Linked DNA regions of Astyanax mexicanus. The protein of the gene in region 1 interacts with the protein of each later gene in a pairwise test. Links are inferred from orthologs where the notes say so. Each region holds a gene or a part of one and is shown on either strand. Other genes may lie near its edges.

Evidence for each region.
Region 2: the proteins of nap1l1 (region 1) and rpl23a interact in binary tests that used the Homo sapiens proteins (3 or more experiments, as listed by UniProt). The link is inferred for Astyanax mexicanus from reciprocal best matches to the Homo sapiens genes NAP1L1 and RPL23A.

The regions. Positions count from the first base shown.
Region 1 is NC_064409.1:26,592,047-26,609,295, forward strand, and holds the start of nap1l1 (nucleosome assembly protein 1-like 1), read right to left. Parts: upstream 7,929-17,249; 5' UTR 7,785-7,928; exon of another isoform or gene 7,765-7,784; intron 5,379-7,764; 5' UTR 5,365-5,378; coding exon 5,348-5,364; intron 4,523-5,347; coding exon 4,434-4,522; intron 745-4,433; coding exon 642-744; intron 445-641; coding exon 303-444; intron 1-302. Other genes in the region: osbpl8 (oxysterol-binding protein-related protein 8), read right to left, coding at 13,199-13,328. UniProt on the Homo sapiens protein: Histone chaperone that plays a role in the nuclear import of H2A-H2B and nucleosome assembly.
Region 2 is NC_064424.1:10,152,809-10,169,741, forward strand, and holds rpl23a (60S ribosomal protein L23a), read left to right. Parts: upstream 1-9,054; 5' UTR 9,055-9,134; coding exon 9,135-9,159; intron 9,160-10,503; coding exon 10,504-10,684; intron 10,685-11,120; exon of another isoform or gene 11,121-11,190; intron 11,191-11,273; coding exon 11,274-11,450; intron 11,451-11,657; coding exon 11,658-11,727; intron 11,728-11,879; exon of another isoform or gene 11,880-11,942; intron 11,943-12,016; coding exon 12,017-12,031; 3' UTR 12,032-12,074; downstream 12,075-16,933. Other genes in the region: rab34b (ras-related protein Rab-34), read right to left, coding at 1,739-1,797, 3,283-3,390, 3,538-3,628, 3,699-3,780, 3,920-3,971, 4,936-5,000, 5,106-5,207, 6,389-6,454 and 2 more; tlcd1 (TLC domain-containing protein 1), read right to left, coding at 13,859-14,242, 15,838-15,920.

The DNA.
Region 1 (17,249 bases):
CTACGCTGTCCCAAACATCAGTCTGCAGAGCTTCTAGCTGAGATTAAGTCTTACTGACTGCCTGCCAAAGCGGTACAATTGTTAGCAACTGTATGGTATAAAAGGTACATCAAAAATGCATTTCGAATTTAGAACCAAATGAGTTTAACAGATTAACTAATTCATTTTAATATCAGTATATCCCAACTGTCCACCACTCTGCAACCTACAAAACTACAATTCCCATCTCGGTCTGAGAGCTAGTCTTAGCCATTCTCTGAGAAGCAGAATAGACTGCAACAGGAAGTAGTCAGCGGTCTCACCTTGTCAAACAGAGGCTGGTACAGAGCCGCATACTTCCTTTCCAGCTCGTGAACTTCTTCGTAAAACTTTGCTTCGATGTGAGCACATTTCACCTGCAGGTTCTTCAGCGCATTTACACGTCGCTTCACTACCTTTGGTAAACTGGACAGGAAACAGACATGGGTTACAAATAAACCTTACACAATAACAATACATGTTTAATATGATTACTCAAGTCATAAAAAAAAAAAATACAAAAACACTTAAACAGCAACAAACACAAGCACCACCTAGGACATAAAGTAAAAGGTGGGAAGTAGGAAATGCCCGTTTCTGTCTTAAGACACAAGTGTTCTCACCTCTCCATGTACCCGGAAGGGGAACCCACCAGTCCGTCCAGCCTCTCCTGCAGAGCTGCCAAGATCTGAGGATTCTGCATCATCTGCACAGTCAGCTGCCTCGCTAAACACAGACACAAGCTTAGTTATACACTAAACACCTCTAAATAAACAAATACACTACAGGAAGGGTAGGAGGTGCTCTAATATGCTCATATAATACACATGCTCATTCTGACACTACAGAAAGTGATGGGGCTATGGGGGTCACTGCTGCACTTGCGGCTTTCCCTAACTGGGGAGTACTGCATTATTGAATGCTAGCATGTTGTAGTGCATGTGCATGCGTGCACAGCCAGTAAGCTGTTACTTTACACTGATAAGGTCAATGAGGTCATTAGCCAATATCAAATATCCCTCCCCCCCACCACTTTGATGACTGAGCAGAACAGTAGGTGTGTGAGGAATCAAAAAACTGCAGTTTGATCTTCACTTTCTTACCCAATCTAAAAATAGCTCAGTCTAAAATTGGAAGATTCAGATGATGCAAATTTTAAAGCTTCAGAAAAACCTAGACCCCTTAAGCCTTGTCCAAAAATCAGCAGCCACAAGCTCCTCTAAGCAGCTGCTAAGCACTCTGAACATTACTATAACTGATGCTCTCCTCCTGCTCTGTACCAACTGTATTTTAAGAGCCATTTCCGCAGCATACAGGTGCTGGTCAACGAATTAGAATAATTTGAAGTAGTGCAATCATGAAATTCTTTGAATGCATTTTTTTGTGCAGAAAGCAAATCAGGTGTTCACCGCACCTGTCCTACTCGTTAGACTAATCACAGAACTCGTTACCTGGAAAAAAAATTGCTCAGCTGAGCTTTCCAAAAGGCCCATTTAGGCCATTTAACTGTGACACTTGTTTTATTGAATTAGAATAATGGAGAAACCGTTTCATTGAATTAGAATAAATGCTCGAATTTTTGTTTTCTGTGAAGAGTGTTCACTGTGCAGTATAAAGTCAGGGTTGAGTAGAATTTCTAAGTTGTAAAATCAATCATGGGTAAGCAGCGCGACCTCTCAACCGGAATAGTGCCTCAAATTCAAGCCCTTCGCCAACAAGGTTAGACCCAAACTAAAATTGCTGAGCAGCTCGGCATCAGCCAGTCTTCCTTCTGCAAAGCTCTCAAGAAAAACTGCAGCAAGCGCACCAACTGTTCCGGCGTCCGAAAAACTTCTGCTCGCGACAACAAGCAGCTGAGAAAGATGAGAAAGCAACCGGTTCAAGTCCACTTCCGAGCTCACCGACTTGCGGAACAAGCAACCGGCGCTGACGTCTCCAGATCAACCACTTACCGTCGTCTGCGCGAACTCGGCTTCAAATCTCGCGTTCCAGCAGTAAAACCGATGCTGAACAAGAAACAAATGGAGTGCTGAAGACTGGCAGAAAGTGGTCTTCAGTGACGAATCACGCTTCTGCATCTCCTTCGGTGACCAAGGTCCTCGTGTCTGGCGTCGTGGTGGCGAAACCTACAACCACGAGTGCGTGAAAAGATCCGTCAAGTTTCCCCAGAGCGTTATGGTCTGGGGATGCATGTCCGCTCGAGGTGTAGGGAAACTCTGCTTCCTCAAGAAGACTGTCAATGCTGCCGTATATCAAGATGTTCTGGAAACGTTCCTGATTCCGACTGTTGAGGAACAGTTCGGCGAAGAAGACTTCATATTTCAACAGGATCTTGCACCGGCTCATGCGGCAAAGTCGACCAAAGATTGGTTCACTAAAAAACAGCTTGAAGTTTTGGCATGGCCGGCCAACTCGCCTGACCTCAATGTCATTGAAAACCTTTGGGCCATCGTCAAGCGGAAAATTCGCGACAGAAAGCCTACTACGCTGGACCAACTGAAGCAGAACATCGCCACTGCCTGGGAAGCTGAGAGTGCAGAAACTTGCGACAAGCTGGTCAAATCGATGCCGCGGAGACTTCAGGCAGTCATACAAGCCAAGGGGACAGCCACAAAATACTGAGAAAGTGATGATTGTAATTAAAATAAAAATTATTCTAATTCAATGAAACGGTTTCTCCATTATTCTAATTCAATAAAACAACAGTGTCACAGTTAAATGGCCTAAATGGGCCTTTTGGAAAGCTCAGCTGAGCAAATTTTTTTCCAGGTTCTGTGATTAGTCTAACGAGTAGGACAGGTGCGGTGAACACCTGATTTGCTTTCTGCACAAAAAATGCATTCAAAGAATTTCATGATAGCACTATTTCAAATTATTCTAATTCGTTGACCAGCACCTGTATATAGGCCATAGGAAATTAAAGTTCATGATTTCTGCAGGGTGGAGAACACTGACTGAATGACATAACTTTCCTAATACCAACAAACATCCTTTTGGGATTTTTTCAGACAAAATTATTCAACCCCAGTGACGTACATAAGTACAACTTCCTTTGGCAGTAACAGCGTCCTTCAGATGTGCAACATAGCTTGACAAGCTTTTTGCCGCGATTAATAGGTATCGTGGCACATCCCTCATTAGTAAAGGCCTTAAGTGCATTGACGCATGTTGTAACTGTCTTCTTTAAATCTAGTCATAGTTCTTGCACAGAAGCCTTTATCTGGCAGCATGTGTCCAAACAAGGACATTTGTTAGAAAATTAAAAAAATACTGTGAAATTCACATGGTTATTATTAAGTCTTTATTTGATCTGATTGTAAACAACAAATATAAATGAACTTGCTAACTAGTGAGATTATTTATTATATTTAAGTGGTGTCAATCGCTTAAAAAATTTAATCCGTTTAATCACAACAAAATGCTGCGATTAAATTGCACGTTTTTATTCATTCTTTCATAAAAATGCAATTATAGGTGTATTTGTGGTGTCAATTTTAATAGTAAATTTAATAATAGTAAATAATTGTATGTTTGAGTGGCGATAAAGCCAATGTAGGGTGCTGGAATAAAGAATGCATGATAAATTAGATTGTAAAAATCTCTGCTTGGATGTGAGATTTCCAAATTTGAACTTACTTTGATGAGAAGAAAAAAAATCTCAGGAACGAGGAGCAGGGAAAGTGGAATAGTGTGTGTGTGAGAGAAAAAGCTCTATGACCAGGACTAAGCTAGAAGTTCAGAGCGCACCGTTCAATCATTCAGCCAGACAACAGTTCAGTGCATTGGGCGGGGCAGATTACAGCAGAAGCAGGAGTCAAATTTGGTGCCTTAATTAACTTGCGTTTAAAATATAGTGACGCAGTAACAATACAAAAAAAAAATAATAATAAAAAAAATTCACGATTGGGTTAACACCTAGGTATAAACCCTGCGGTTCGATACCTTTTAGGTACAGTTAGTGGAAAAAAATATTTGTTCTTAATTAAGTGCCACAATCAGGCTCATTGTTTGTTCCAACAAGATCCAAAAGATGGAGCCTATGATTAGAGTAGGAAAGAACCCTGGTTTGAAAAATGTAATAAGAGTACTCCAGCCCAATATCAACATTCCATGCCAAAAAACAAAACATGGTTATGATGAAGATTCATTATTATTAAATGGAGAAAATAGAGGCTACACAGAATGCCCAGCCTTTTTTTTCACCAACCGTACCACTTCAAAATAATTTGTTTCTCTGATTGAACCATTTATAGGTATATGTTGAGTAAAATGTTCATGTAGATTTTTTTGTATCACTTAATGTTGAATATAAAACTACATTTGCATTGAAAAGGTAAGGACATTTTTAAAGGGATCTTTGAAAGGATTTGCTGCAATTGGACAATGTGCAAGGTCAGCAGGTAAGCAGACAGTACCTTTACTGTTGACATCCTCCCCGGTCTCCTCCTCCTCCACCTCCTCAACATCTTCCATATCAGCTGGGTCCAGCTCAGCCTGCTCTTTACTGAAACAAAAATTAAAATAATTCATTATTTTAAAAAAATGTCCTAAAACTTGATAGCTCATTTGCCTCTGCTTTACAGAAACCGAAACCAGAGGCAGAGCCAGACTATACTACTATCTGGTAGACCCACCACCTCAGACTGAATTCAGAATTCACAGCACATTTTAAAAAACCTGAGAGGAATTTCCCACCAGTAAACCCAGTCAGTCCAGTAAGTAAAGTCCCAACTGTACAAGTTCATGTAGGTTCCGCAATTCAACTACTATGTAATGTAAATGGTCTTCCCCACAAGGCTGGTCCATCACTTCAAAACCTTCTTGCACTATAGCACAAGTTTATAAGCCGTATTTCTGGCACAGACAATTAAGAGTCCAGATCACTACCATTCTGTCACATTTCCATCAGTCCTGGTTTATTTTAATATACTGCTTTTATCTTCACTGCAATCTATTTTTACTTTCTTTCTGGTGTATTCTTGTCTCTGATATGCTTCTCCAACAGTTTTCTTCTAGGATTCTCACACTCACACCCGTGTGTGTTTTTGGGTTAGCAGCAGGTGGACAGGGCCTGGCTGCGAGGCAGATGCACAACAGAGGTGGGCAAATAAGCTTTGGCACTAACTTCACATTGATAAAGGAACTACCCAATACCCACCAAATATCACCCTGGCACCCACCCCTCATTACCTGCTGTGCCTTTTTCAGTACCTACTGTCAATTTAGTATCCATTATGATTTATTTAGCATCTATGATAAATTATTTACAATATCCTGACGTGCAGCTCTAAGCTGAGGCATGCTGGGAATAGAAAGAAGCGGTACTTACTTGTCGAGATCGGCCATGTCTGTTTTTATTCCTGAGGAGAGAGAGAGAGAAAAAAGATTTTGGATCAGACATGACAGACAGTAAGTGTTTAAAGAGACTAGTCACTCTGGGCAGCAATTAGGCGACATTAGGTGCGCTTTCAGTCCGTTCCCAAACTACTTCTAGATCGGTTGTGATTGCAATAAGAAAACAATAAGACCTTGAATAAATTCAACTATCAGCTGTACTGGACAGGTTTAAGCTGGCATATCAGCACTCTTACCAATAAGAAGGGAGACATTCAAATGATTTTTATATTTTTATATAATCGCAGAAAATGTAAACAATCTACTGCACTACGTGTGTGGGGGGGGATGCATCTTCATCCATCTTTGACCAATGTCAAAGCAGCCAGTGAGGACCTTTTGTATTGTGTTTTTTCAGATGAGTAAGCTGTAATCTATAGTGGAGGGGTCCCATCACAGGCCAGGCTCTTTTGTGGAGCGCTATAATAACGTCATTCTACTGAAAGAGTTTTTAAGAGCTGAACTTTGCAAAATCCACCAGCGGCAAGGCACACAGACAGAGGCACACAGACAGAGGCACACAGACAGAGGCACACAGACAGAGGCACACAGACAGAGGCACACAGACAGAGGCACACAGACAGAGGCACACAGACAGAGGCACACAGACAGAGGCACACAGACAATACATGATACTTGCCCTCCAGGTCTCCTTACACACTTAACTATAAATCTGAGAGGTGAACGTTATTACTGCAGTTTAATATCTGAATCCTGTTTAAATGTCATTGTTGAATGGCAAAACAAATCCAGAAAAAAAATAAGCACCAGAATTATCTGCACCTTCTCCATAACTAACATGCCAGACCAAAGGTAGAGGACCTTAAATTACATTTCTGCCTTTTACTGCAAGTTTTAGAAAACAGTTACTCATAGTAATAACCTGTTGTGGATCTTATTTCTTACTTGTCTTCGTCAGAGTTGGCATACTCTGAAACTGTTATTTGTATAAGCTATATTAGTTATACTTATTTCTCACAGCAAATAAACTAAATAATAAACTGTAAATATGTTAAACCTGAACACCAAAAGCTGAGACCTTAGGTTTAGGAGCTGCTGTTGGGATCTTGATAGACAAACTGACACTGCATAAGATCTAAAAGCAACACAGCTCTATTCACTGAACTTTACTGAGTTCTTCCCCTTTAGCCTCCACAGAACCAAGCCAGGCCACGTGGACATCTTTAACGCCCCCACCACCACTAAACATTACCAAAGAATCCATCATTATATTTGGGTAGAATGTTTTGCTTACATTCTGAGACTAAAGCAAAGCCTATGCTTATTTTACACTGGTAATACATGGAACACATTACAAAACTAAACTCAGACTAAATCATAATCATAGAATCCAGACCTATGTATTAAGACCGTAGTGAGTGAAAACCCTCCTTTTACCACAGATATGCAAATGAGATTAGTTGCTGCCTACATTTAAAAAGCTGTGATGGATCAGAGCAGAACTGCAGCACAAAAGCCCAGCTTGTTTTCTGTGACCTCACAAATACACTCCATTCAAAACGAAAATGTTTCTCTTTCAAACATGTAGCTACAGATTTAAAATTAAACAGTAATACAGATGACCTCACAGCAGCCCACTCAGACACAGTAGCTACCACACTATTTTGGACCGCATGGGCATTAGTGGGCCTAACTGGCAAAAAGCAGGGCAACGTTTTATGACTGGACTATAACCGTCATTACTTTATTACTACTTTAACTCTTAGCAGCTCTAATTTCCCCATCACCACCACCTCCAAAGAGTGAGAGCAACCGCTGCCCCCTCGCCAAGACCGGCCGCGGCTCCACGTGTTTCCCCGGATGAGCCCGTTAGCACTGAGGCTAACCCCTTAACCCGGAGGGGGGACGGATTAAAACCAACAGCGAGAACTGCCGGTACCTGCCACTGTGGACCTACATTTCTCCGGTTGGGGGGTGTTTTACAGCTCCTTGTCGGCCCTACGAGCAGCAGGGGAGTTATTGTGAGTGATGTGGAGGAGCAGATTAAAGCAGCGACCCCGCGGTGTGTCTGAGGTAAAATAAAGATTTTCAGCTCTGTTACTCTCCTCAGCTCCAACACCGCGCCCGGTCGCCGCGGGAAGGACAAGAAACGGGGGGAGGAACAACCAGACAGGCGACACAGCCATAAATGCCCACAGCCCGCCTCACTAACACAACATCTAACCCGTATCTTACACCCGCGGGAACTCATTCCCTTACTTTCCGCGATACAGCCGCCTCTCCCCGCCCGCGTGTGGGCCGCGCTTCGTTAGCTTAGCATCACCATCAAACACATTCCCCCGCGGCTGCCATCGAGAGAACACGCAGTTCAGTGAGCCACGGCGAGCTCACCTGCTGCTGATCCGGTGTACCGGCGGGTGCGGGAGACTCTGTAGGCGGAGATGAAGCGGTCTGAGGCGGGACTGTGAGGCCGGGACTCGGAGACTCTGCCTCAGCCTGCTGGATCTGCGTGTCTCTCTCGCGCCGCTCTGATGGCGGTAAAAAAGGGAGCGCGCTCCCGCCGCGCGCGCTCATATAGCGTCATCACGCAGGGCGGCAGTCACCGGGGTAACGCCGAGCCAATGGGGGAGGCGACCGGTCGATGTTCCCGCCTTTCCCGCCATGTTGTTTCTGAGGAGAAAGTTGTTAAAAATGGGGTTTTCTGAACTATGAGACAGAAAGTAATGCCATTTCAGACTGATAGTCAGGGGTAAATTACTCAAATACTCACTCAGAGGAATCAAATGTTGGAGAAATAACACTTTATCACTGTATATTAAGATTTAAGCTTATAAAAAGGCCAATAATCTGAAACATTGTAGCTAGTCTCTACACTGAATATATAAAACTACATACCAGTCTTAATTCATTGTAACCACACCCCCTATATTTACATAAACCCCGCCCGCTGTAGAAAGCCACAGGTAGTCAAGGACTACACTTACTTCAGGAGAATAATGTTTGTGGTGAGTAGCTGACCACATGTCACACGTTGAGGCTAAAGTAAAATACGCTGTCAAGTAAGAATAATAAATAGAATATAAGATAATTGCATTGATTTTGTTGTGCTATATGGGTCATGTGAGTTGTAGTTATGAAATGTGGGTTATGTAGTAAATGTTTTACTTGAAGGTTAAAGAACAGGCTGATAAAATGGTTTGTGTTGATGGTTTCTGGCCTAATAGTAAACGTAAAGGCAAAATAAAACCAGTTTACAGGTTTGTAGGTATAATTTAGCATGTAAATGAAATCCAGATTACTACTTAATGTACTAAAACTCTACTGTATTGTTTTCACTTTGACTCATGTGAGGTTTCTCCTCCACTGCTTCAAACACGGGGAACCAACATCTGACCACAACCAAACTGTAAAACATCTCCTTAAGACTATTTTATTGTTTAGAAACAAACTAATAAATTGACCTGTGCCAAACTTTCAGAATGTTTTAAAGATATATTGCATTTTTTTATTATTAGCTGTATTTTAGCACCAATTCTTTTTTTCACTTCTGTTTACGAGACTCCACTTGAGCAAAGGTGTAAAATATACTACTGAACAAGAGTTTTTCTGTTTTACTCCTCATATTAGATTTAGATAAATACAAGTCAGTATACAGTTTCTGCACTTTAAGTTAGACTTTTACATAGATATATACACACACTGACCATAAACATTAGAAAGGTGGTGCTATAACTGGGTGCAGTAATAATAATGATCCCCAATATTATATCCTCTAACTTAACCCCAGGATCAACTCTAAAATAACTCTACCATAATTTTTAAGATAACCCTTAAACCCACTCTTAAAATGGAAATTCCAAGAATATCCACCAGTTTAAATGGCAGCACCTGCATGGAAAACTAACCTCCCTAAATTAATGATGAAAGCAGTCGAAAAATTGTCTGTTTTACTAAAAGGCTACAGTAACTGGATTGAGGGTTATGTGCACGACGTGGAAGGTAGGTAATTGCCTTTGTTTGCTGTATTGAAAAACTTGTGTGTTTGCAAGCTAGTTTATAATTTACAGACTAGAAAAATACCTTGTAGATTGTCTAACTGTCTTTACAGGCTTCACTGAACTATCTGTGCAGGCAAATAACGAAGAAACACTCTTTTGTAAAGTGTCAATAATAATATCAAATCATACATAAAATAAATGACCATTAAATGCCAAATACAGTCCAGCTAATCATGCAAGTGTACACTCTTGTAAGACCAGGATACCCACGGTAGCATATTAACTAACTAGCTAAGATGGCTACTCTAAAGATACTCTATGGCTTGACTACCGCTACCCCCCCACTCGTGTTCACATTAGCAGAGAAAATAGAAACATTCATGGTCAACCCACAGACCAGCTCCAAATACCTACAACCGCTGTGCATCATTCAACTATTCAGCACACTTTGTACAGGGTGAGGCTGTATGTAGTCACTTGAGGTATGCAAAAGCACATTTGGACAAGCCAGGTTTACTTTGGGGCTGTGTGACTAGTGCAGGTACTGGGAATCTTGGTAAAGTTGAGGAACGCATGGATTTCAGAAAATATCAGCAGATTTTTCAGAACAATGTTTAAGATGAACAGTACAATATTCTGGAATGGCTATCTCAGTCCCCAAACCACCTGAATAATATTGAAAATATGTGGTGTGATTTAAAGTGTGCTGTTTATGCTCAGAAACCATCAAACCTGACAGAACTGAAGATGTTTTGTAAAGAAGAATGACCCAAAATACCTTCAACAAGAAGCCAGACTCTTATTGAAAGCTATAGGAAGTGTTTAGAAGCTGTTATTTCTGCAATATACTAAATCATGATGTATTTTTTCTGTTTGGGTGCCCAAATGTATGCATCTGTCTAATTTTGTTTAATTATTGCACACTTTCTGTAAATCGTATAAACTTCTTTTACTTCTCAAATTTCACTGTATTCATCTGCTACATATGTTTCACTGAAATTACTGATCCAAACAACTAATGATTTATAAAGGAAAATCATACCACTGTATATAAAGCTTATGTACTAAAGTGGTAACTTAAAGTGTAATTTATTTCTCTTTATGTATTATTACTTTTATTTATTTTTATGTAAATCAACTTATAAATGAACTGATGGAGCTAGGAGAGTGTATATGAGTGAATGTGCGAGTGAGTGTGAGTGCTGTATCAGCAGGGTCTTTATGTTCCAAACTGAAAAAGTTGCTGCAGTGTCACTCTCATTCAGCACTCGGATTAACTCTGCATTACAGCAGTCTGACACACACACACACACACACACACTCTCTCTCTCTCTCTCTCCTACTACAGAACTTAGGGGCCATTAACCTACAGAGAATGAGAGATCATTACCCCTTTTTTCATCTATCAGTTTTTCTCTCTCACACACACACACACACACACACACACACACACACACACACACACACACACACACACACACACACACCGTATCTGATAAAGATGCTCCAGTATCTCACAGTGATGAGAGATGGTTGTCTGAACCTGACAGAGCAGCATTTCATTTGATTAATAAAAACTAAAGGCAGAAAGATCCACAAACCAACAACTGAAAACAGCTGAAGTAAAGGCCTGGCAAAGCATATTAAAAGGTAAACCCAGTGTTTGGTGATGTCCATATGTTCCAGACTTCCAGTGGTCTTTGCCTGCAAAGGATTCTTAACAAAATGTTAAAAATTAACATTGTATTTATGGTAAATTTAATTAGCTAATTTTTGTTTAACCCCTTGAATGAAAGTCTACAGTTGCATCTCATTTGTTTAATTTTAAATCTAATAAGGTGACATGCAGAGCCCAAATAAGGGAGCTTGTTTCAATTTCCAAATATTTCTGGACCTAACTGTACACCCAATCCAGCCCAACTAATTTTACTTTTATATACACAATGCAACCCAACCCAGTCTAATCTTTTATACCCAAACTGATACACCAAATGCAGTCTAACCCAATCACGATGTTGTCACTGACAGAAGAATGAGATGGATGGTTGTCACTGTTTATTGATTATTAATTGGTGTTACAGGTGATTAACATACAGGAAGTTAATCCTTAAATACAAATACATCATCATTAACCGTGTAGAACAGAGAGATGCAGCGCACACTGTCCAAGTGACAACAGGACACACACACACACACACGCACACTCTGTGGTCGGTGGGTTAAAACGCGTCTCTAAGGCTGATTATGGCACAGTCACTCACGCAGTAGTGAAAAACAACCAAAATTAATAAAAGTGGAAAAAAACTTAAAGCAGGCTCCACCCATCACATGCCCCTTCTAAGTCCCACCCATGGCATAGCCCCACCCAGTCTCTCCCAAGAACCCCGCCAACCATAGCCACTCTAAAAAGGCACATTAATGATAAATCTGAAGTTATTACTGGTGTGACCACATTCAAACCTCTAAAACACGCACACACAAAACAGATAAAAGACACATGTGATATGACGACAGTGTCTAAAGCATTTGTGTAGAAAAACGTTAAGTAACTCATTCCTATATTCCTCCCATTTGGCTTTAACTGATAATATTTACATTAAACGAAGGGGGAGGAGCTACAATAGGAAACATTCTGCTACACCTTTACTATGGTCAAATTACAGGATTAGTCCTAAACCCTAATTCTACCTAAACCTTATTCCTAACCTGAAGCCAAGCAGTGTCCTGCTGGTCCGTATATATTAACACTAGCAATGGCGCAGCATGAGGCTGGCGGTTCTCATGCTCTTCTAGCTCATGTAGATCTACAGCTAATGTAAAACTACATACCTGAAATACCATGGACTCCCCTACACCTACACCTAAGCTCCTCCTACTATTCCCATAGGTGTGTGTTGATTAGTAAAAAATAAAACACATACTCTTACACTCGTACAGAGACACAGTTCATCTGTTGCTTTAAAACTAGGAAGGTCCCGATCCAGTGTTCTCATCCCTGTTCAGATTTGAGTCTACTGTAAACGTTTTGAACCGCTGGAGGATTAGAATTACATCTGCTAATTAAAAAAATTCTTAATTACAAAAAAGTATGTCTTATTATGGAGGCACAGCAGCAAAAAACAAATTATCCCAACTGAATCAGGTTTTATTGTAACAGTTTAAAGAAAACTCAGTATCAAAGGCAAATTCAGGTCCAGAGAGTAAAAATGACCACTGCCTGGGTGCCTCCCACAAAACCCACAAAAAATGTTTTTACTTAGGTAAATTTATCACTTGTAAAATAACTACACTAAATTAATGCAGATCTGAACGGGCTGAGAGATGTGTTTTTGGGGTGTGTATAAAATGAGTCTAAGCCTAGTGTTTGTCAGCACTGTTAGCCTAGCATGGCTACAGAAGCAAACATCAGACACTGGATCAAACTGGGACATCCCTCATTAAAACCTTCCATCCAATTCCCTTACAAACACACCAGTAGGAAAAAGTGAACACTGTAAAATAACAAAGATAATATAACAGTATAATAATAATAATAATAATAATAATAATAATAATAGTGATAAAGTAAAAGTAAAAGAGGCGGTGCTTTTTAGGCTCTCTCATCTTTTGCAGTCCAGAGCATTTCCCATAATGTACTTTATCTGCAGTCAGTCCCGGAGCACCTCTCACTGAAATTCTGGATCCTTCAGAGCGTAAAAAAAACACAAAGCGAGGCAAAGTGGACATGTGCAGAGGTCAGGAGCAAGAGAGTGGTGGACAGGGAGGCGTCCATTCTGGTTTATGTTCGGTCCCTGATCCCAGGCTGGAGTTCAAGAATAATCTTCTGATTATTTGTAGATGAGGGTGAGGACGATCTGAGCACAGATGAGGAAGAGGATGATTGCGTAGTCTCTCTGAGTAAGGAAGGAGCTGTGCTCAGTCTGGACCGACACTCGACTCCTTAGAGCACTGATACTCCTGCACAGAAACACCAGGTACTGATCAATAATTAATAATCACACAAATATGAAAAACAGTGGAGTAAGCCATCAGTTCCACCCAATCCAGTCTAACCCAATGCATCCCAGCCAAACCCAATACATACCAATCAACCCAATCCAGTCCAACCTGATACATCCCTTACCAACCAAGTTCAACCCAACACATCTAGTCAAATCAGACAGTCTAACCCAATGCATCCCACTCTAGTTCAACCCAATCCACTTTACCCACCCATTATCTAACTCTGTGATTGTCCATGCATAAACAGTGGTGCTTGAAAGTTTATGAACCACTTAAAATATTCTATACCTCTGGATTTATACGAGCTAAAAATCAGATTTTCACACACCCTAAAAACTAAATAAAGAGGACCCAATTAAACAAATAAGAAAAAGATTATACTTGATAATTTATTTTATTGAGGAAAATGATCCAATTTTACAAACTATGTGAACCTATAGGAGTAGTGGGTATTTGAAGGTGTCAGGTGTTTTCAATCAATGGGATGACAGTCAGGGGTGAGTGGGCCTTGTTATATTAAAAAAACACAGGGATCTATCAAAGACATTTGTGGAAGTTTATCATGGCTTGAACAAAGAAGATTTCTGAGGACCAAGAGTTGTTGATGCTTATCAGGCTGGAAAAGGTTACAAAATCATCTCTAAAGAGTTTGGAATCCACAGTCAGATAGATTGTGCACTAATGAAAAAAATATCAAGACCACTGTTAGCCTCCCCAGGAGAGGTCAACAAACAAAGATCACTCCAAGGGTAACTTTGGCTTATATTACTGTTCATTAGTTCACAGTCAGGAGAACACTAAACAACAATGGTGTGCATGGCAGAGTTACTGCTCTAAAAAAAAACATTACTGCTTGTCTGCAGTTTACCAAAGATTATGCGGACAAGCCACAAGACTACTGGAAGAATGTTTAAGAGACTAATGAAACTAAAATGGAACTTGTGGAGAAAGGAAACACTGCATTCTAGCAGAAGAACCTTATTCCATCTGTGAAATGTGGTGATAGTATTATGGTTTGCTGCATCTGGCCCAGGATGGTTTGCCATCATTGACGGAACATGAATTCTGAAATGAGAATTCTAAAAGAAAAAGTCAGGATGTCTGTTCGTGAACTGAATCTCAAGAGAAGAAGAATGGTTAAAAAAGAATAAAATTAAAGAGTTAAAAAGTTTTGGAATGCCCCAGTTAAAGTCCTGACTTTGAACCAATCAAAATGTTGAATAAGAACCTGAAGTTAACAGTTAATGTAAGGAACCAACATACCAGAGTTAAATAAGCTACACTACAGAAGTTTAAACTGTCTGCACAAGGCCGTTACAGTATCAGTTTGATACCCAAACTGAACTCAGGCTGAGATTTCACACCACTTTCTACAGGTCCTGTCAGGTCAGGCTCAAGAAAATGGTCTGGCCAACACTTATAAAAAAAAATAAAAATAAAAAATAAAAAAATAATAATAATATATATATATATATATATTATATATATTATCCCAATTTTCTCTCACTCTCTCACTTGCACTCCTCTATGACTAGTAATGCCCCAACACCAGGAGAGTAAAGACTAGCATATGTCTTCTCTGATACATGTGAAGTCAGCCACCACCTGTTTTTGAAATGGTGCGGGTAGCATTATAAGCTAGCCAGTGCGCTCTGAGAAAAATGCAGCACTGATACTTCAGCTAACAGACGTCTTGTGCTGACCGACATCACCATGAGTGTGATGTGAGGAGAGGGCGCCATCTACTGTACCAATCCAGAGAGAGCATGGCAACTAGACTTTCTACCATCTCATCTGTGCTCAACTCCTTTTTCCCTTATGTCATTTTTTTGGGGGAACAAAACAACAAAAAAACATTAAATCCACCAGCCTTTCAGTTTACAATCCCCTTTCACTATAATTTTCAAACTTTCTGCTCCTGTTCATTGTTTTTCTTCTTTCCATTTTCCCACCATTTCAGAAACTTCAGGTTTTATCTGTTAGTCCAAGTCATCCACTTGTTAGCTGGACCCTCTTACTACAGTTTTGGTTAAGCTTGTCTCTCTACGTTGATCCGTCTCATCTCTGCAATTATTCACTCTTCTCACTTCACTGGAACTGTTCCTGCATCATTTAAAACCTCAACAATTATTGAGATCCTTAAAAAAACCCGCTGCTGATCTAGTGCTGAACGATTTTTACAATTAATTCAGATAATCTGAATTGGCGTTTTAATGTGATTTTTAAAATGGAGTAATTGCGAATTTACATACAGACATTTTATCTTTTTAATAAAAAAATTCCAAAAACACTACTCGTTTCTGCAGTGTTTATCTGTCTTACCTTGGTTACCGGCACCTTCCACAGACCAGTGAGCACGTATTTTTTAACCACTCCGCTCTGAGGTCTGAGCTTGTACCGAAAAATGTTCCAGCATTAAATACATCGTACCGCTTCTAAAAACTGCAGCGCCATCCCTCTCCGGTGAGGATCCGTGATTAATTGTGGAAAACAATAATAATCACTCTTTTAAAGTTTTTTTGTGACTCGTTTAGTGCGTTATTTCTAAACTTTCAGTTGTAGACCCGCATAATCCAGTGTCTGACCGTGTGTAATATGAACACATGGGCTTGTAAACAATGTTTTGAGTCACTCAATGATTCGACTTAACCCAATGTGTCTGAAACATAGACTGTATATAAGTATGGACAGGACGTCCCAATTCACTTTCATTACGGCGGTTTGAAGCCAAACTATTACTAAATAATTGGTAAATATACTAAAATTAGGGAGAAGAACAAAGTGTGACTACTAATGAATTTATGGATGGAAATTATTCACTTACCAAAAAAACAGCAGAGAACGTTTCCCTGAGGATATGTTACAACAGTTAACTGCTAAACAAGCCATTGCTTTACTTCAGAAATGTAATTTTTAACAGTAAAATCTGAATTTTAAGAAAGATCTGACTGTGAGCTCCGCGACTGAGCCACAGTGCGCATTCATGCTCTCAGGCGACCTGTCAATCAACTTGCCCTCAGCTGTCAATCACCACATCGCCACACCCCTTTAAATATCACGGAATAACTCCTATAAAGTATATTGAAAAACACTGGGGGTTATTAACACGGGGGGTGGGGGTGGGGGGGGGGTGTTGTTCAGAATTTAGAGAACCCAACTTCCAAAATAATTCCTGGATGTGTAATTTTAGAAAAAAAAGTCTGCCATCTCTCATTCAGTTGAATGGAAATAGGCGGGGTTAAAAGTTGTACTGGAGCCAGCCACCAGAGGGCGTAAGAGACGTAGTGGCTCTACTTTTCAACCCCTGTTGTGCTGTCCATATTTATATACAGTCTATGGTCTTAACATATATTTATTTATTTATTTTTTAAATATAATTTGTGCTTTTTTTATTTATTTTACAGGTAAGCCTAGCTTTAAACCATTTCTTTATAATCCTTAATTAGATTTTTAGTAAGGGCGAAAATAATATAATTATTATAATTATAAATAATAATATAATGGAATAGTCCATAATCGCCCAGCACTGCGCTAATCTCACCAATTTTAATCATCTACGTCATATTTCTAATCTAGCCTTCATTTCCAAAATTGTTGAGAAAACAATAGTGACTCAACTCTGTATGAAAAGTTTCAATGTGCTTTCCATCCTTTCCATAGCACAGAAACTGCTCTCATAAGAATCACAGATGAGCTCCTTTATGGCTGCTGATTCTGTTTTACTCTCTATTCTTATCATCTTTGACTTGAGTGCTGTATTCAACACCATCTGTCACACCACTCTCTTCAATAGACCATCTTCCATTGATATCACTCAAACTCCTCTAAACTGGTCTCAATCATATCTCTCTTGCTGTACTAGCCTAACATTTACTT
Region 2 (16,933 bases), on another chromosome or scaffold:
CACATAATCACAGTAGTCTGGATGTTGGATCATTAAAACAAATGCTTTTATTACAGCAGAAGATTATGGAATATAGAGGGCAATTATATTAATCAAGGCAGTAAACATAAAGATAGGGATAAGGCTAGTAGGTGCACCAATATTCAGATAAATCCCCAAAAAACACTAAAATGATTTCCTTCATAAAATTCCTAAAACAAGGTAACACACAAAAGTGAGTGCACCTCAAACATCTTGTAAACTTGTAAACACATGAATAAGAAAAGTAAATAAAAGCTTGTGTCAGAACAGTGTCTCCACACACTTAAATAATTAAAGTTCAGTCAATCATTTAAGTTCAATAAAATAGACTCTTATTCAATAAAATATTTCTTAAGGCACTATTCACAACTGCTACAGTCATATTAACCCCTTCATAATTGTGTTCAGAATTCTAGAGTAATTCAAAAACCATGTACCTCCAATTTTGCTGTTTTTCTTCTCATGATAATCTAATAATAATAATGTAATAATAAAGTGGCAGGTTTTTTTCGTTTCAAAATGTCACAATAAATGAAACTGTAGAGGTGCTACAAAATTATTGAAAATGTTTGCTGTTCATATGTTCATATGTTTTTTTCTTAGTATTTTGGAGATACAAGGTTTTTCAGAGACAATAAAGATATACAGTACCTGTCAAAAGATTAAATAAAATAATCTTTTGAATTAAATAAATTCAGTGTTTTTTCATTATTTTTAAGTTGTCTGCATTGTGGATTAATACTAAAGTCATCCAAACTATTAAGAAAAATCATATGGAATTATTTACTACATAAAAAACTGACCAGAATATGTTTTATATTTTAGATTAATCAAAGTAGGCACCTCTTGCTTAGATGACAGTTTTGCACATCTTGGCTAGATTTCAGTTAACAGCTGTGCTGATAACTGTTTGAGAGCAATAGTTGTAAAGTTGTGAAGAGGTAGAGTTGGTATACAGTGAATATACATATTTGAGTAATGTTCTAATTCATTATATGGTAAGAACTACTCAACTAAGTAAAGAAAAAATACTTTAAGAAATGAAGGTCAGTCAATGAAACGGTATGATGAAACTGGCTCTAATCAGGACTGCCCCAGGAAGGGAAAAACAAGAGTTTCCTCTGTTGCACAGGATAAGTTCATCAGAGTTACCAACCTCAGAAACCGTAATATAATATATTACATTTATGAGTATTTTGGTTTGCTTAACACTTTTAAGTCACTACATGCTTTCTTATGTGCTCCTTCATAGATGACTTTAGTACTATTATACAGTGTAGGAATTAAATAAAAAACCTTCTTGAATGAGAAAGTGTGTAGAGTGTCTAGACTTTTGACTGGTGCTGTATGTGGAATTTCTTTTCTATATATTATCCTTTTTATATCCCTTTAAATATGTAATACACATATTAACACATTTTCACAATCATTAACACATGATAAATACACCATAAAGCCTCTTTTGGCAACACAATTATATCATTTTATCCTGCAGATGCGTGTCTGGGACGCTGAGCACAAGCGCAGTAAGATCCTTCATTGTTCTTCACTGTTTAATTGTTTAAAGAGCATTTCTGAGGTTCTCACACAGCCATCAGCTTTGACGTCAGCTGTTTGGGCAGTCCAGTGCAGCTGGAGTTCTTTAGGGGCAGTCGGTGCTGCCGGGTGAACTACGTGATGTTACTGTTTGCTGACATCACACTTCTCAACTTAACACTTAATTGCAGCAGTTGCTTTGCTTCTTCTTCCTGAAGTCGTTGTGATCTCCAGTGATTTCTGTAAGGAAGCGGGTAAATAAGATTAGTTGTCATAATCAGTATTTTTTTAGCTGCTGTCTAAAGCCATATCCGGACAGGATTAGTTTCTCAGGGAGTCCTGGGGTCATTTTTTCTCTTTTATGGTGGTTTTCTTGTGATCTTATTCCCATCTGGAATGACCATGTATGTGTTTTTCTCAGACATCTTCTGACAAAATTACAGGCTGAATTATCTACTGTTTTTCGCTGAACTCCGTGGTAAATTTTAGTTTAGTTTCATCACCTAGCTATTTGTCCACTGCCACTATATTTTTTTAACAAAATTTTGCACAGTGCAAGTTAAGAGTTTTTTTGTTTTTAAACTGAGTTCCTTAGTGTACTCTGAGGACTTCCTCAGTGTACTTGTGACAGGGTATTTCTGTCTGATTTTTGATTGTTTTAGACATTTTTAAGTTCATAAAAAGAGTTAATTTGGGAGAAAATTGGGGCCAAACTTAATTATATTGGGGCCAAACTTAAAAAAATAATAATTATTTTGTGTTAAATTAAAAAAATAATGCATCAAAGTTTCAGGATGAAATGTGTGCATTAATGTGTTTTTGTTGAAAGCATTAAAAAAATATAATTAATTCCAGGGCAAAGCTTCAAGCTGTTCATTACATTCATAATGAGCATGTAATGTTTGGGGAATATAAAGTCCTATCTGGACGGGATTAGTATCTCAATGGAACTTCTGAGAAAAATATTTCACACTTCTACTCAGTGATAAAACCAGACTGCAATTGAAAAAAACAGGAGCACCAGTGAGTTTTTTGGCTTTCTCTATCACATGACATCACGTTCAGTAGCTCCTCCATTTCCACTCGCTGTCGTGTTTATGTGGATCTTCATGGAAACGTGCACACGGAGTGTAATTATGGTGCGTGGCAGTGGACAAATAGCTATTTTATTAAATGCGAGGGGATGAAACTCAGAGATATTTAAGAAAAGACGCTTGTTATAAAAGAAAATTGTTTATATACTATTTAATATGTGTTTATTTTGTGATAATAATAGTACGTTCTATAAAACATAAGTATTAATAAAACATAAGTATTAATAAAAGTATGTTCTGATACTGTTGTTTCAATACCAATTAAAGATGATTTTTTTTTTAACTTAAGGGGCAACTTTTATATGTTCTTTCTTTTTTTACTGCATTGTCACTGCATTATGGGTGATAAATGATTCAGACTTTGACTCGTGGGCAAGAAATGTGAACATTCCTACCACCAAGTCAACATATCTGCCAATAAAAGCCATACCCATACCACACGCATTTAAAAGGCCTTCCTGAGGTGAACTGAGTGTATTAGAGCCATGCATGGCAGGAACAAGGGAATGTTTTATGCTAAATTCTAAAAACCACTAGAAGGCAAATTAATGCCACATTTTGCCCACATGATAAACTGGATGCATCTCAGAATCTGATGTGCCAATTTCTAAAATACTAAAAGGCTACTTACTAACAACATTGTCTGCATGTCTCGTGTTCTTCCTTTCCAGTTCCGCTAAAACAGAAGCCTCGAAGGTAAGTGACGCAACCCGGAGAAACAGCTGCCTCACGCTCTCTCCTGTTCAAGGAAAATGGAGGCATTGCACTGTGGTACTATTGCTGTGACAGAACCATTACCTTCAGTTACGAAGTTAAAGCCAAGAGAAAATAAGTCATGATGTCATGTTTGTAGCATATGCCAGCTACCTACTTTAACCAGTCCTACCTGACAGAGCAGAAACAGCCCAGTACTCAGCTTTTATCTCCTCTGACAACTTAATGGCTTCCTCCTCCATCTGGGCCAGCAGGTCTGGATGCTGACACATACAGTAAACATGAGTGCACCAATCAACTGTAAAGGATTTATTCATCTGAACATGAACTCACACTCTGGTCCTTCTTGGTCCCCACGAGGAAGAGAAGCACACTGGAAGGGTCGTTGTCTATCATGGCATCTTCAAGCCACTGTCTGTGAAGTTACCCAACATGCAGATCCCAGTGATATTAAACAGGGCTGCTTACACAGCAGAATTAAATTAAGCTCCAAACAGCATCTAGGTGTGTCTAACGTGATAACTACAAGAATGTGTGACAACAGCATGACTTACCTTGCATTAACCAAAGAGTAGTAGTTGCTCAGATCAAATACAACTATGATGGCTGCAGTTCAGAAAAGAGTAAACAAAAAAATGCCAGTTTTTAGCATGAATACAGTCAGGCACATCCAGAGGTGGAAAAAGTACTGAAAAATTGTAATTAAGTAAAAGTACCTTTACTTCGCTACAATTCTACTCAAGTAAAAGTAAAAGTACCCATCTAACAATCTACTTGAGTAAAAGTAAAAAGTACTGAATATAAAATGTACTTTGAGTAAAAGTTACATAGTTACTTTTAATTATTCGATGTAAAAAATTAAAAACAAATCATAAATTAAATTGGTTTTAATGAACTATTATTCCACATAATAATTTGGACCTTTCAGGCAGTATTTGTTCACACCACCCTATAAAACTTTTTTTGTTTTTAAGAACAAGTAGTATAGGTTTCTATGATCCATTTTTTTCTTTACTATTAAAAAGTTATGGTCATATAGGTGACTATAAACTGTATTTTTATAGTTTCACAGTTTCATTATTATTTTTTTATTAACTTGCCATTGCTATGCTTTAACTGCTTTTTACATGTTTTTCTTTACATTTAAGCAGATTGTTTAATGATAAAATATATACCACCACATACTTTCTCAGGTTTGATGTGGAAGTTTTGAAAGCTGACAGCTCTGTGCGGCGAGGCACATTTTGCATTGCATGAGGACGTTATTGCCTCGTTATTCTACGGGCAAGCATCCGTGACAATTTTTTTTTATTATTATTTAGACAATTTTTATTTATTTATTTATTTATTTTTACTCAGTAATTGGGAGTTTTCCAATGTAGCAACGTAAATTACTTGTGTCAAAATGTACTTGAGTAAAAGTACAAGTACCTATTTTAAAAACTACTTAAAAAATTACAAATTACTCATAAAATCTACTTAATTACAGTAACTTGAGTAAATGTAATTCATTACTGTCCACCTCTGGGCACATCCAAACCAGTCAGTCAGAATGTTACTGTATTATTACCTTGGGCCCCTCTGTAATAGGTGGACGCAATGCATTTAAACCTCTCCTGGCCTGCAGTGTCCCATCTGCAGTAAGAACAACCATTCAATAGTAACTATTATTACATCTCTACTTATTTCATTAGAGCATTCATTTCTGTTTATTCTTCTATATAGAGAATCATGACTCACAGCTGCAGGTTGAAAGGCACTCCTAGGACCTTAAATCTCTCCATCTCAAAGTCCACTCCAATAGTGGCTTTGTAGCCTTTGTCAAAAGTATCCTTACAAAACCTTCAGGGAATTAATTTCAAAACTATTAGAAATGTAAACATCTCTGTTGAGAAGTCCCAAATGCGATACGAGGTGCTACACAGCAGTTTTATGGCATACAGCACCATATTATTAGTGTTAGTGTTACAGTATTATTGATATTATTTAGCACACTTTAGATTAATGGTAAAATCGCTATAAAAAATAAATAGACCACTTCAGTTTCTGAATCAGTTTCTCTGATTTTGCTCTTTATAGGTCTAAGTTTGAGTAAAATGAACATTCTTTTCATAGTTTTATTTTATAAACTACGGACAACATTTGGCTGAAATAACAAAAAAGATGCAGAGCTTCAGACCTCAAATAATGCAAAGAAAACAAGTTCATATTCATAAAGTTTTAAGCGTTCCAAAATCAATATTTTGTGGAATAACCCTGTTTTTTTCATGCATCTTGGCATGTTCTCCACCAGTCTTACACACTGCTTTTGGATAACTTTATGCCACTTCTGGTGCACAAATTCTAGCAGTTCAGCTTAATTTGATGGCTTGTGATCATCCATCTTTATATTCTTTATCTGATTATATTCCATAGGTTTTTAATTTGGTAAAATCAAAGAAACTCTTCATTTTTAAGTGGTCTCTTATTTGTTTCCAGAGCATTGTGAAATTTATACAATTATAAATATTTGAACAGTGTAAATGATGTGCATGGTTTAATTTGCTTTTTAATTTTGCGACACATTTTTTTAGCTATTTGCACATGCATCATACATTGCGATGGTGATGGTGAATATATGGTGATATATTGTGAAGCTCTAATTCACTCTACATCAAAACACATTTGAATGCAACTAACAAAGTCAGATATCTTCAGATATTTAACTAAAAAAAACACATTTGTAGTAATGATAATAATACAATTACAGACCATTTTATAGCTGTAAATAACTCAATAAAACAATTATGCATTTTTTGTGATGGAAAAAAAACAAAAAAAAACATGCATTTGACTTTCTGCAATATGTGTTCTATGGAATGATCTTGCTCCGTTCAGCTCCTAAATCGAGGTGAAATTCTTTATTTTTAAACTTTTTTAACAACCCCTCCTCCGTCAGTGACAGCTGGTATAATGAGCTTTTCATTATACTTTATATTAGTATGATTTGTATAGCAACCCAGTATAATGGATGCAGTGCTCACCTGTTAATTAAACATGTTTTTCCTACTCCAACATCACCCACGACTATTACCTTGGCTACATTAAATCTGTGGACAAAATAGACAAAATTCAATCTAAATATAATGACCAGTGAAGAGTCCAGACTGCACAATGAACAGACAGAGAACAGGACTTACCCCATGGGGTCTGATGTCTGAGTCTGACATGCGTTTTGGACGGTAACGTGAAAGCCGTCTTTGGTGTGCAGAGCAGCATCCTTGGTGAAGTACTGTATTAAACATAAATCCAGTATAATGTATTTTTCCTGATCATACAAATATAAGTTATTAGTTCAGATTACCAATAGGCCTGTCACCGTAATCACATTATCAATTTAGTATATGATATATGGAGATAACTTATATAACAATATAATGTGCTGTCCTAAATGCTGCATATTGTGGGTACTGAGCAAGGGAATTTATTGACATAAAAGAGCCAGTATGTCAAATCTTTTCCCATTTCAGTGTTTAAATATTATTAATACTTAAATATATCTGGAACTTCTCTGAACTTCCCCTTTATTACAATTTAGGAATATCATATAGAGTTTGCATTACTTTGCATGTAAATCCTTATGGTTAAAACAAACTAAAAAATAAGGGGATTTGTGTTTTTTTTACTGGACAGTATCAATATTCATTTTAAAATGTTGGAGGGTTACCAGTGGGAGCTCACAGATGATCCTATCGTCTCGTATGGGTGGTAGAGAACTCATAGTTAGGATCTATGAGAAGTTGTCTAACGAACAGAAGAGCACACAAACACAAATTCAGCTGTTTGCAGATTGTCAAAAAGTGTCAACAAGGCAAATTTTATAATAAAAGACTAAATAATAAAAAAAAACGTATGACCTAACTGTATTATTTATTGCTTTACTCATCAAATAGCTTATTATATATTTTTAAATAATATCATATAATATGATATGTAAAAAAAAATGAGCACAATGATTCTAAAATCATTATCAAAAAAGAATTGCTATATGTATAAATTCAGCATCACTCAAAGGTTTACATTTGATCAGATATTTGATTATGTATTTATATATTACAAATCTGTAAGAGCAAAACCTTTGGCACTACAAACCTGTTATGCTAAAATGTATGTTTATTTCCTAGTATCATTGTTCTGCATTTTTAATTTCAAATATATAAAAGTACATTTTATTTAGAGTCTACATTTATTAAATAAATAAATCAGTATCATAGCACAGTATCATATTTAATAGTAATGGCTCTGTAGTCACCAGACATGTTTCAGAAAGCAGCTTTTAAACGATAGAGCTAAAGTATGAGTTAGTACTTCTTAGAAACATATTAAATACTGTAAATAAGTGATCTAACTCTTAATTTTAAACAGAAAAAATATAAATCTTGGTAAAACACCCAAAACTATTACATGCAATCAGTAGAGCTGTGGGAAACAGTACATACCACAAGAGAATATCTATCCTCAGTAAATCCAGCTTCCTACATTCCCTCAGAGTCAGAAATCACTCCTCACAGGGCTGAACACTCTCTCAGTCTGCAGGGCTGAAACAGATCATTCTTCTTATACAGCATAAATTTATATTAATAAAAGATTTTAAAGAAATCCCATTCATTTCCCTGAGCAGTAAAAGCAGGATCAGATCTGTGACAGTCTTCAGCTGGACTTGTGAGTTTTAACGCCCATATTTCTGCCTCCTACTGGTGATAAATAGTCTCAACAGTGCCACTTCTTATTCCTCACATTAAAGCTCAAATAAAGAGTAATAAACGCTACAGGGCGCTGCTGAGTGAGTTCTCTGAGTGAGGATGGATATGGCTTAACCAGAAAACTTCTCGACAGGAGAATAAAAACCCACTAAATAATCTTTTGTAGTCCCAAATGAAAAATTGTATATGAAGCAATTGAAAAAAAAAAAACATAATTTATTAATGTTTGTTCATTTCTATATCAAAACATTGTCCCTATCTAAATATAGAACAGTATCAAATATTTAAATACCGAAGACACATTTTTTAAACCTTAAAACCTTTAAACCTGCTCTGGTTGTAATTTCAGCATTATTTTACCAACCAGTCAGCTCACAGCAGCAGTGATGCTAGCATCTTTACTCCCCCAAACCTTTTACCCCTTTACTGTAGAAATTTGGACATAAACAGGTATTTTTCTTTAGTTTATTAGTAAAATACTTTATTCTACTATAGACACTTTATTAAATACCTATGTATGCACATTTTATATAGTATTCTTACTATCTGCTGATACCTGCACCTCTTGCACATTTCTTTTATTTGTCACTGCATTGATAGTGTTATTTTTTTTATATATGTTAATTTTATATTTGTAGACATTTTCTTGCTTATATAATACAGTATTATTTATAGTAAATATAAAATATTAATTAAAATGTTACTACTTATTTTAGTACTATTTGAAATTGTTTGTAGTTATTGTTTTATCCTTTTTTCTTTTTATCTATCTATGATATTTTTTGTCTTATTTTTTTTTTGCAATATGTTCTCCTATTGAAATGTAAGCCTGAGTTTAAATAACGAATGATTAAATAACGTATGATAGTATTATTTATAATCTAGCTATATACAGTCTATGATCTAGCTATATTGCTTCCGAAACTACAAGAGCCATTATGCACCGCGCTGTGTTCTCGCGAGGACAGCGCGCGACCGAGCCCCTGCGAAATAGAGCAGGAAACCCCTCTGTTCTTCCTTTCTCAACATGGCCCCGAAGGCGAAGAAGGAAGGTGCGCTCGTTTTCAACATTTTTGGTTTAAAAGTCGCTGTTAGACTGAATATAGACGCGGGATATTTGGTGTGAGGTTGTCTGAAGGTGTAGTGGTAGTGTATGTGGGGTTTTGAGGTTGGAAAAGGGTCTGTGGAGACGATATTAATCTGTTAAAGTGGCGCAGCGCTGAAACATGTCCACACTGCTCCCGCACACGTTACTGAGCCTGGGTCTCAGAGCTAGCCGGCTGTTGGATTAGCTAGCTAGGCTACAAGTTTAACTGACTAGTGTCAGGCCGAGTGTACTAGCTAGAGAGACGTGAGCTTTTATAACGTTGAATTTGCTTTAAAAGCGGTGTAATATTGTGGTTTATTGACTAGAATACCTTAAAGTTTAAAAAACGTTGGGGCACAGTTAGCTAGTGAATGCTATGCTAGCAATAGAGACAAGGTTTCTTCACTGGCCCTGTGAGCTATAACGTTAGCCAAGTTAGCTAAACTGTGTGTTGACTCTGCATAAGACATTTTCCCAGGCCCAGTTCATCTACATGGAATGTGTAGTTATCATTAGCTGGCCTACCAATTTAACCAGTTCCATGATAAGTTCTTTGATTCGAATCTTAAGCTATAAACCCAAGTTTGACTTACGTATCTCCCTAGCATACACGTGAATGTCCCTGTTAACCTGTAATTTTGGGTATTTGTTGGGTCTCACGTGTGACGTAATGATTGGAAAAATGTGTTTTTTGTCACTTATTGTGTTTTAAGACTTTAATATGTGTAAGTGGTGCCCCTGTCCTACTTGTAGTAACTATAACTATATTTTTGTGTTGAGGGTATAGTCCCATAGATAGTTGAGGTAAATGGTAGTCAGTTTAAGATCATTTTCCCTTCTTAAATAATAAATGTAATTGCATAATACGACTACATATGTAATATACTAAGAGTAATCAAGTTTCAATTATAATTATATTACAAATATTTAGACTTAAACATTGAAAAACATCATTTAAAAATATCCTACGGAACCTGAATCATAAATAAAACCATGCAGATATCAGTGATATGTAAAAAGTCTATAAATTGTACAATTATCTGATATTTTACAGACTTATTTTTATATAAAAAGTTAGCTATGATACTGCTTCATTCACATTGATACACACGTTGAGGTTATGTCCATGTATTGTGATAAGATGATCTAATAATGTGACTAGCTTAATTGTAGGCATTTGTTGCAGATAAGTTGGTTTTATACACAAGTTCTGCCACACAGTAATATACTATTATACTATCAGTTCTTTGCCATCTTGGTGATCACTATTGTTGCATTTAGCTTAACAGTGTTGTCCATGTCCCCACAGCTGTCCCAGCCAAGACAGAGGCCAAGTCAAAGGCCCTGAAGGCTAAGAAGGCTGTGTTGAAAGGTGTCCACAGCCAAAGGAAGAAGAAGATGAGGACCAGCCCTACTTTCCGCAGGCCCAAGACTATGCGCCTGAGGAGGCAGCCCAAGTACCCCAGAAAGAGCGCGCCACGCAGGAACAAGTAAGTTTACCATTGTCAGTGCTATTTACAGTGGTCCTTGTGGTTCTTATTTAGTATTGTTTGGCTTGTAGTTAGGGCTGCAACAAATGGTTAACATAGTCGACAATGTCTGTTATAAAAAGTCAACTAATTCATTAATTTTTAACAGCAGTGGACTACACAGTGCTCCCAAATGTGACACAACAAATTAGGCTTTTTAAAAATGTCTTCTGTGACAGGGCATTTCAATCCCACCTTCAGCCAAATATATTGTTTTAAAGTAAGAGTAAAAGCGAGGAAAAGGAGCCATTCCCACAGGAAGGAGAGTTGGAGGGCATAGCAGAAATAATTGAGTACAAAACTTAAGTACAATAATAATCTACAGATTAATTGACAACAGATTAATACCAAAATGCAGCCCTACTTGGAGACCAAACATTTTGTTGGACAGTAGCAGGATGCACATGATGGTAATTGCGATCAAAGCATGATATTTATGATTACACTTTTTTCAGTGCTGATGCATCTTGTGTAACATGTTTTGAATTCTTGTTTTCTCAACATGTTTCCTAGATTTAGTGTTCTAATTATTTTTATTTAATTTCTTCAGGTTGGACCACTATGCCATTGTCAAGTTCCCCCTGACCACTGAGTCAGCCATGAAAAAAATTGAGGACAACAACACTCTGGTGTTCATTGTTGACGTCAAGGCCAACAAGCATCAGATCAAACATGCAGTGAAGAAACTGTACGACATCGATGTGGCTAAAGTGAACACACTCATCAGGTATTACTTTTTTTTTTTTTTTTTTTTTTTTAATGGAAAATATAGTAGTAGAAAATGTGTGCTTTCTGTGTAATGATGTAAATTATTTGTGAACTCTGATTCATGATGTTCTCAAAGGAACCACTGATTCACATGGTGTAGTTTAATTGAGAGATGTGATGAATGCGATGACGGGTAGAATATTAAAGTATTTAATGTGCTTTTTAGGCCCGATGGTGAAAAGAAGGCATACGTTCGTCTGGCACCAGATTACGATGCGCTGGATGTTGCAAACAAGGTAAGCAGTCTTGAGCAACTAATTATTTTTGGGGTATTTGAGCTTTGAGCAGCAAAAATGTGTACATCTTATGTTTATCAAGTTTGTAAGCTTTTCTGTTATGAACCTGGATAAATGTACAGCATGAATAACAAAACAGGTTGAAGTATTTTGAGCACATGATGTAAATGTTTCTGACTGAATCAATGATGCATTCAAAGGAACCACTGATGCTATCCTAGTTCTGCAATGCATTGTTTTCACTTAGTGTTTCTTGAGTGTAATTTTTCTTTCTTCTACTCTCTTTCAGATTGGCATCATCTAAACTGCTCTTGAAGTGTACAGAAGAATAAATGTTTGTAAAAACATGCATGTTGCCATTTGATTTATTTCACAATTACTCTGGACAAGTTGCACTCTTGAAAACAAGTTTTTAGCAGTTATTTAAATAATAAGCTACTGCCTAAGGCTAAAACAAAAAAGTTCTTGATCTGATGAACACAATGTATTGTAGATCTCACATTGCCCAAATGTAAGGCTGGCTGTAAAGTACTTTATATAGCGTATTTTTGTGTAGAATAGGCTTCTAACAGAGGGATTATTTGGTTTAATTGACCTGGGAAGTAAACAAGTAGAAAACAAATCTTCAACCATGATATCGGTTCAAAAGATGTTGGACAAAGTCAGTTTCTTTGATTCATAGATTGGCTGTTTTGAAAGTGTTGCATTATTAAAAATTTACCTATTTTTATTATTGTTCGGGCAGATATATATTCTATTTTTTTTTTTTTAAACTGTGATCAATAACAGATTTACCCAAGTGTTTTGAGCTATATTTAGTTTAAACGGTACAGCATGTATGTGGTAGTAAATCAAATTCCTCAGCCACCAAAGGTGCTAAAACTTCAATATTTAGTTTAAGTTTTAGTTTTGAAAACTGGGGAAAAAAGATATTTTCTAAATGGGATCTCACTCACCTCTCTTAAACATGGTTCAATCCTATTCCTGACTCTGTTTACTGTTCAGGTATTTTTATGTAAAAACGTCCTGTTTTCCTTTTTTTTTAAGCTCAATACTATTTGTAGATAAATTTCCTGGTTCCAGATCTCACAAACATACACACGAATGATCACATTGTAATTAAAGTAACCAATAGAATGGCATTTTATTTTGTTAGTGAACAGCATACAATAGCTGCTTATGACTGTAAATTGATTGGTTGAATTCACTACTTACACAAATGACTTCACTAGAGGGCAGCAGAGACCGAACTCACTGCTGTTCAATGGAGGCCAGAGCTTTCTTCTTCCAGCTGTCTGTGTATAACCTCTAAAGTAGCGCTGGAAAATATAAGGGGACTATTATTTAAAGGGCATCACTTTGTAGAATCTTAAAAATGGTAGAATTTTCACATGAACCGATATGGGTCTAAAAAAAGGTGCTTTCTAATTATTTTAATCATTGTATACAAATGTTTGTCATACTTGCCGGTCAGTATGTTGTGTGAAATTGTGCTAAAACCTCGAAATATTCTGAAACTTATTCACCACCCACTTAACACAAGTTTCTTAAATATTGACATCCTCCAATATTTCTTATTTCTAATGTTTTTTTTTTTATTTCAGGACAATGGGATTTATTAAAACAGAACTGTAGACAATTCTGAAGTTTAAAACACATGCATCTAACAGACTTTGCCTTTAAAATCTTTTTATACATTTTTAAAACTTTTATCAAGAACGGATTTTAGAAGATGTATTCGTTTTAATAAAGGGCTACTATGTCATGGGTTTTGCAAGTTGGCATGAATTCATTTATATTTTAATGCTCATGCCTAGCTGATCTTGTCATTGGGATCAAAATCTCAAAAAAAAAAATCCACTTCACAAATCATACAATCATTTGTTTGTGAGCACTGTATGGTAAACATAATACATTCATCTTAAATCTATATATATGTAAAAAGTTAGCACCATTATACAGGACAATGTTTTGTATTTCATTGTGTGGAGAAATACAGCTGTGCAGAATTCATAAACTTAGTGTGTGATGTAACTGTAGTGAAGAACTGTTCACTTGTCCAGTGTGAGGTTTATCAGTGCAGTTTGCGTTAGAATGTCTGATAAGATTGCTGGCCGTGTTCTATAGGAAACTAGTCATTGGCAAACTTCCTCACTCCGTTCTGGTGACTGCGTGGTGTAAAGAAGTCTGTTCGCAGAAGACGGTAGAAATATACAAGGATCATGATGTTCATCAGCATCATGCAGACCAGGAAAAACAGGGCGTGGTCCAGCCAGGAGTAGTTGTAGATGATGTACCAGGAGAGATAGAACTGAGCCCCGAGCCGGAAGCTGATGTACGTGGCTACATTGATCAGCTTATTAACTGTGTAGAGGAGAGAGTCTCTGGGCACTCCAGCCAGTTTGAGCAGTAGTCGTAGATGCAGAAATACACTGTTTACTTCAACGAAGAGAGCTATCACAGCCCCTGCCACATAGACACTCGTTATCAAAGCGTACATGAACGTTGAAATCACCTGCGAAACAAAAAAGCTTGTTAAGTTCACAGGATAGATCCTGGCCTATATTTGTGTTGTATTAAACCTGAAACCTTTAAAAATTAAACATTTCTTTGGTTTTATACATCAGAAACCGCAGTGATTTATTGATGCAGTGCTATTTTACAATTGGTCTCCTAGAATGAACCCCTAAAGCCCTATGGGTCAGTTTCTTAGACCTAGTTAGGCATTAGGCCTAGTTTTGCATAAAAACGGATTTTAAATTGATTTTCAATTCATAGGAAACTATAGATATAAATATATGACTAGGTATAATCCCTGTCAGGGCAACCAAAGTGGTCTCTTAATTTTTTCCCAGAGCTGTATATATAAGGGACCTCTGTTCTGAAGAGGTGCCCATCGAATGAGTTAATCCTCATTCAAATATATTACAAGCTAAAATATTTTTTTTTTGGTTTTTGTTACGTCACAAAAACTTTGTTGAGAAGTGACTCTTTTAACTGTGTTTACATACTATAATAAAAATGTCAGTTTTCCATAATATGTGCTGTTTAATCAAACTTCATCTCATTTTCTTTTACTTTACATAATTTTACTTGTTAACTTTGTTAATACTGACATTTTAAATGTTAAATATTGGCACAGTTCACAGCATATATCCTGGCCTATATGTGTGTTGTTTTAAACCTGAAACATTAAATTAAACATTTCTTTGGTTTTATACATCAGAAACCGAGGTGATTTATTGGTACAGTGCTATTTTACAATTGATTTCCTAGAATGAACCCCTCAAGCCCCATGGATCAGTTTCTTAGACCTAGTTAGACCTTAGGCCTAGTTTTGCATAAAAAAAATAATTTTAAATTGAATTTCAATTCATAGGAAACTATAGATATAAATATATGACTAGGTTTAATCCCTGTCAGGGCAACCAACCTTCAGTGTAAGCCCACAATTCTGTCAGTCCTGTAACACCATAAATAATATAATTTTTCAAGGCCCCAAAATAGAGCCCAGTGGGACTCCACATGTGCCAAATCAAAAGGCTACAAAATAATTCACCTTTCCGCAAGTTTTGGGATATTGGGAAACTTTGCGCCATTTGGATACAGTTTGGGACAATTGGAGACATTTTTGGAACTCTTTGGTTAATCTTTAATAAAATGAAAACCATTATAGGTAGCTCAACAAGATTATCAAAATATATAATTAATAAGAGGTTATTTAATTTACCAAATAGTGAACAATGGCCACTGTGAAAAGGGGTTAAAGATACAGAAGGTACAGATACTTTACTTTTTACTTTATTAATCCTGACATTCTAAATGTAAAATATTGGTACAGAGGATCATGCTCCCGCCTCATGACCATCTCTATCATTCATCTTACAATAAAGATCACAATCATCACTCCAAACATCCCCTTAAGCCAGTTCTGTCTTGCCAACATCCAGTGACTAAAGTGGGTCCAGCTTTCTAACTCAGTACAGAATTTGCAGTCCTACATTTTCTTCCTATACAACAGTCATATTTACTAATTCTCCATTCATTAGCAGAATCTGACTAAGGGGTTGTCTATAAACCGAGCTAGTCTAAACGATTTGTCTGGTTTACCAAAACATGATGAATCAGGAACTCCCATGACTCCCTGGCATGTCCACTGAAGATGATGTCACCAGCATCTTGAATGAAGTACCCTAAAAGAGAAAGTTCAGAATTCCAGATGGTTAAACTCAGTTTACTCTATTCATTTTCTTTTTTCTTTTTCTTTTTTTATTTGTCAAAAGTCACATATAAATCACATACAAATGATAGCATGCATACTAATGTGCTGTGTTTAAAATGTAGTGTACTTAAAATCCACTCCTAACACCTGAAACACTGATGTCATTGTCCTTAATGTTTTATATTCTGAGGTGAGGCTTTATAGTTGATCTGGCAAATAAAACCCCTATTTTCTCTTGTCTGGCATTAAAAATAGAACTGTTAAGAAAAACATTAAATAAACACTACATAAAGTATCTTAGCATGTTTAAAAGAATACTGCTTAGAACTGATAGAGTTAATTATTGTCAAACAGCGCTACTCAACGTCTACCACTATAGCCCTGGTAACACTAAGCAAACAGTCCCAGGCTCTTAACTACTACCACTCCTATCTACAAGTCAGTGCAAGGAGAAACAGAGCTGTGCAGTTTGATTTTCTGTTGGAACACTTTGTTTAAACCATATTTAAAAAATCACGTGGTTGTTAAACTGGTTGGATAAATTTGCTTCAATGGGTGATGGTGCTAAACTATTACATATTACTGCCCCATACATTGGTACAATTATACAACTGTCAAACTGTATATAATGAGGCATTGCTGAATAATAAATAAGTAAAGTTTGGTACATACAAAAATCCCATATTAGTTAAACAGCTTTCAAATGTGGCAATTCCAGAACCCATCAACTGTTATGTATCAGTCTTGACTCTGATTGTTGAATATATTATGAAAGTATTTGGTACCACTTTACAATAAGACTACCTTTATAAAGGGTTTATAAAGGGTTTACAATTAGTTTATGAATGGTTACTAATAAGGTTGTAAATGCCTTAAAAATCATTAATAATCAGTTATAACACATACGTAGACATGGCAACAAAACATATGGCTGTGGGTTCACTATTTGACAAACAAAAGATCTATGTTGCTCTTTCTACGTAT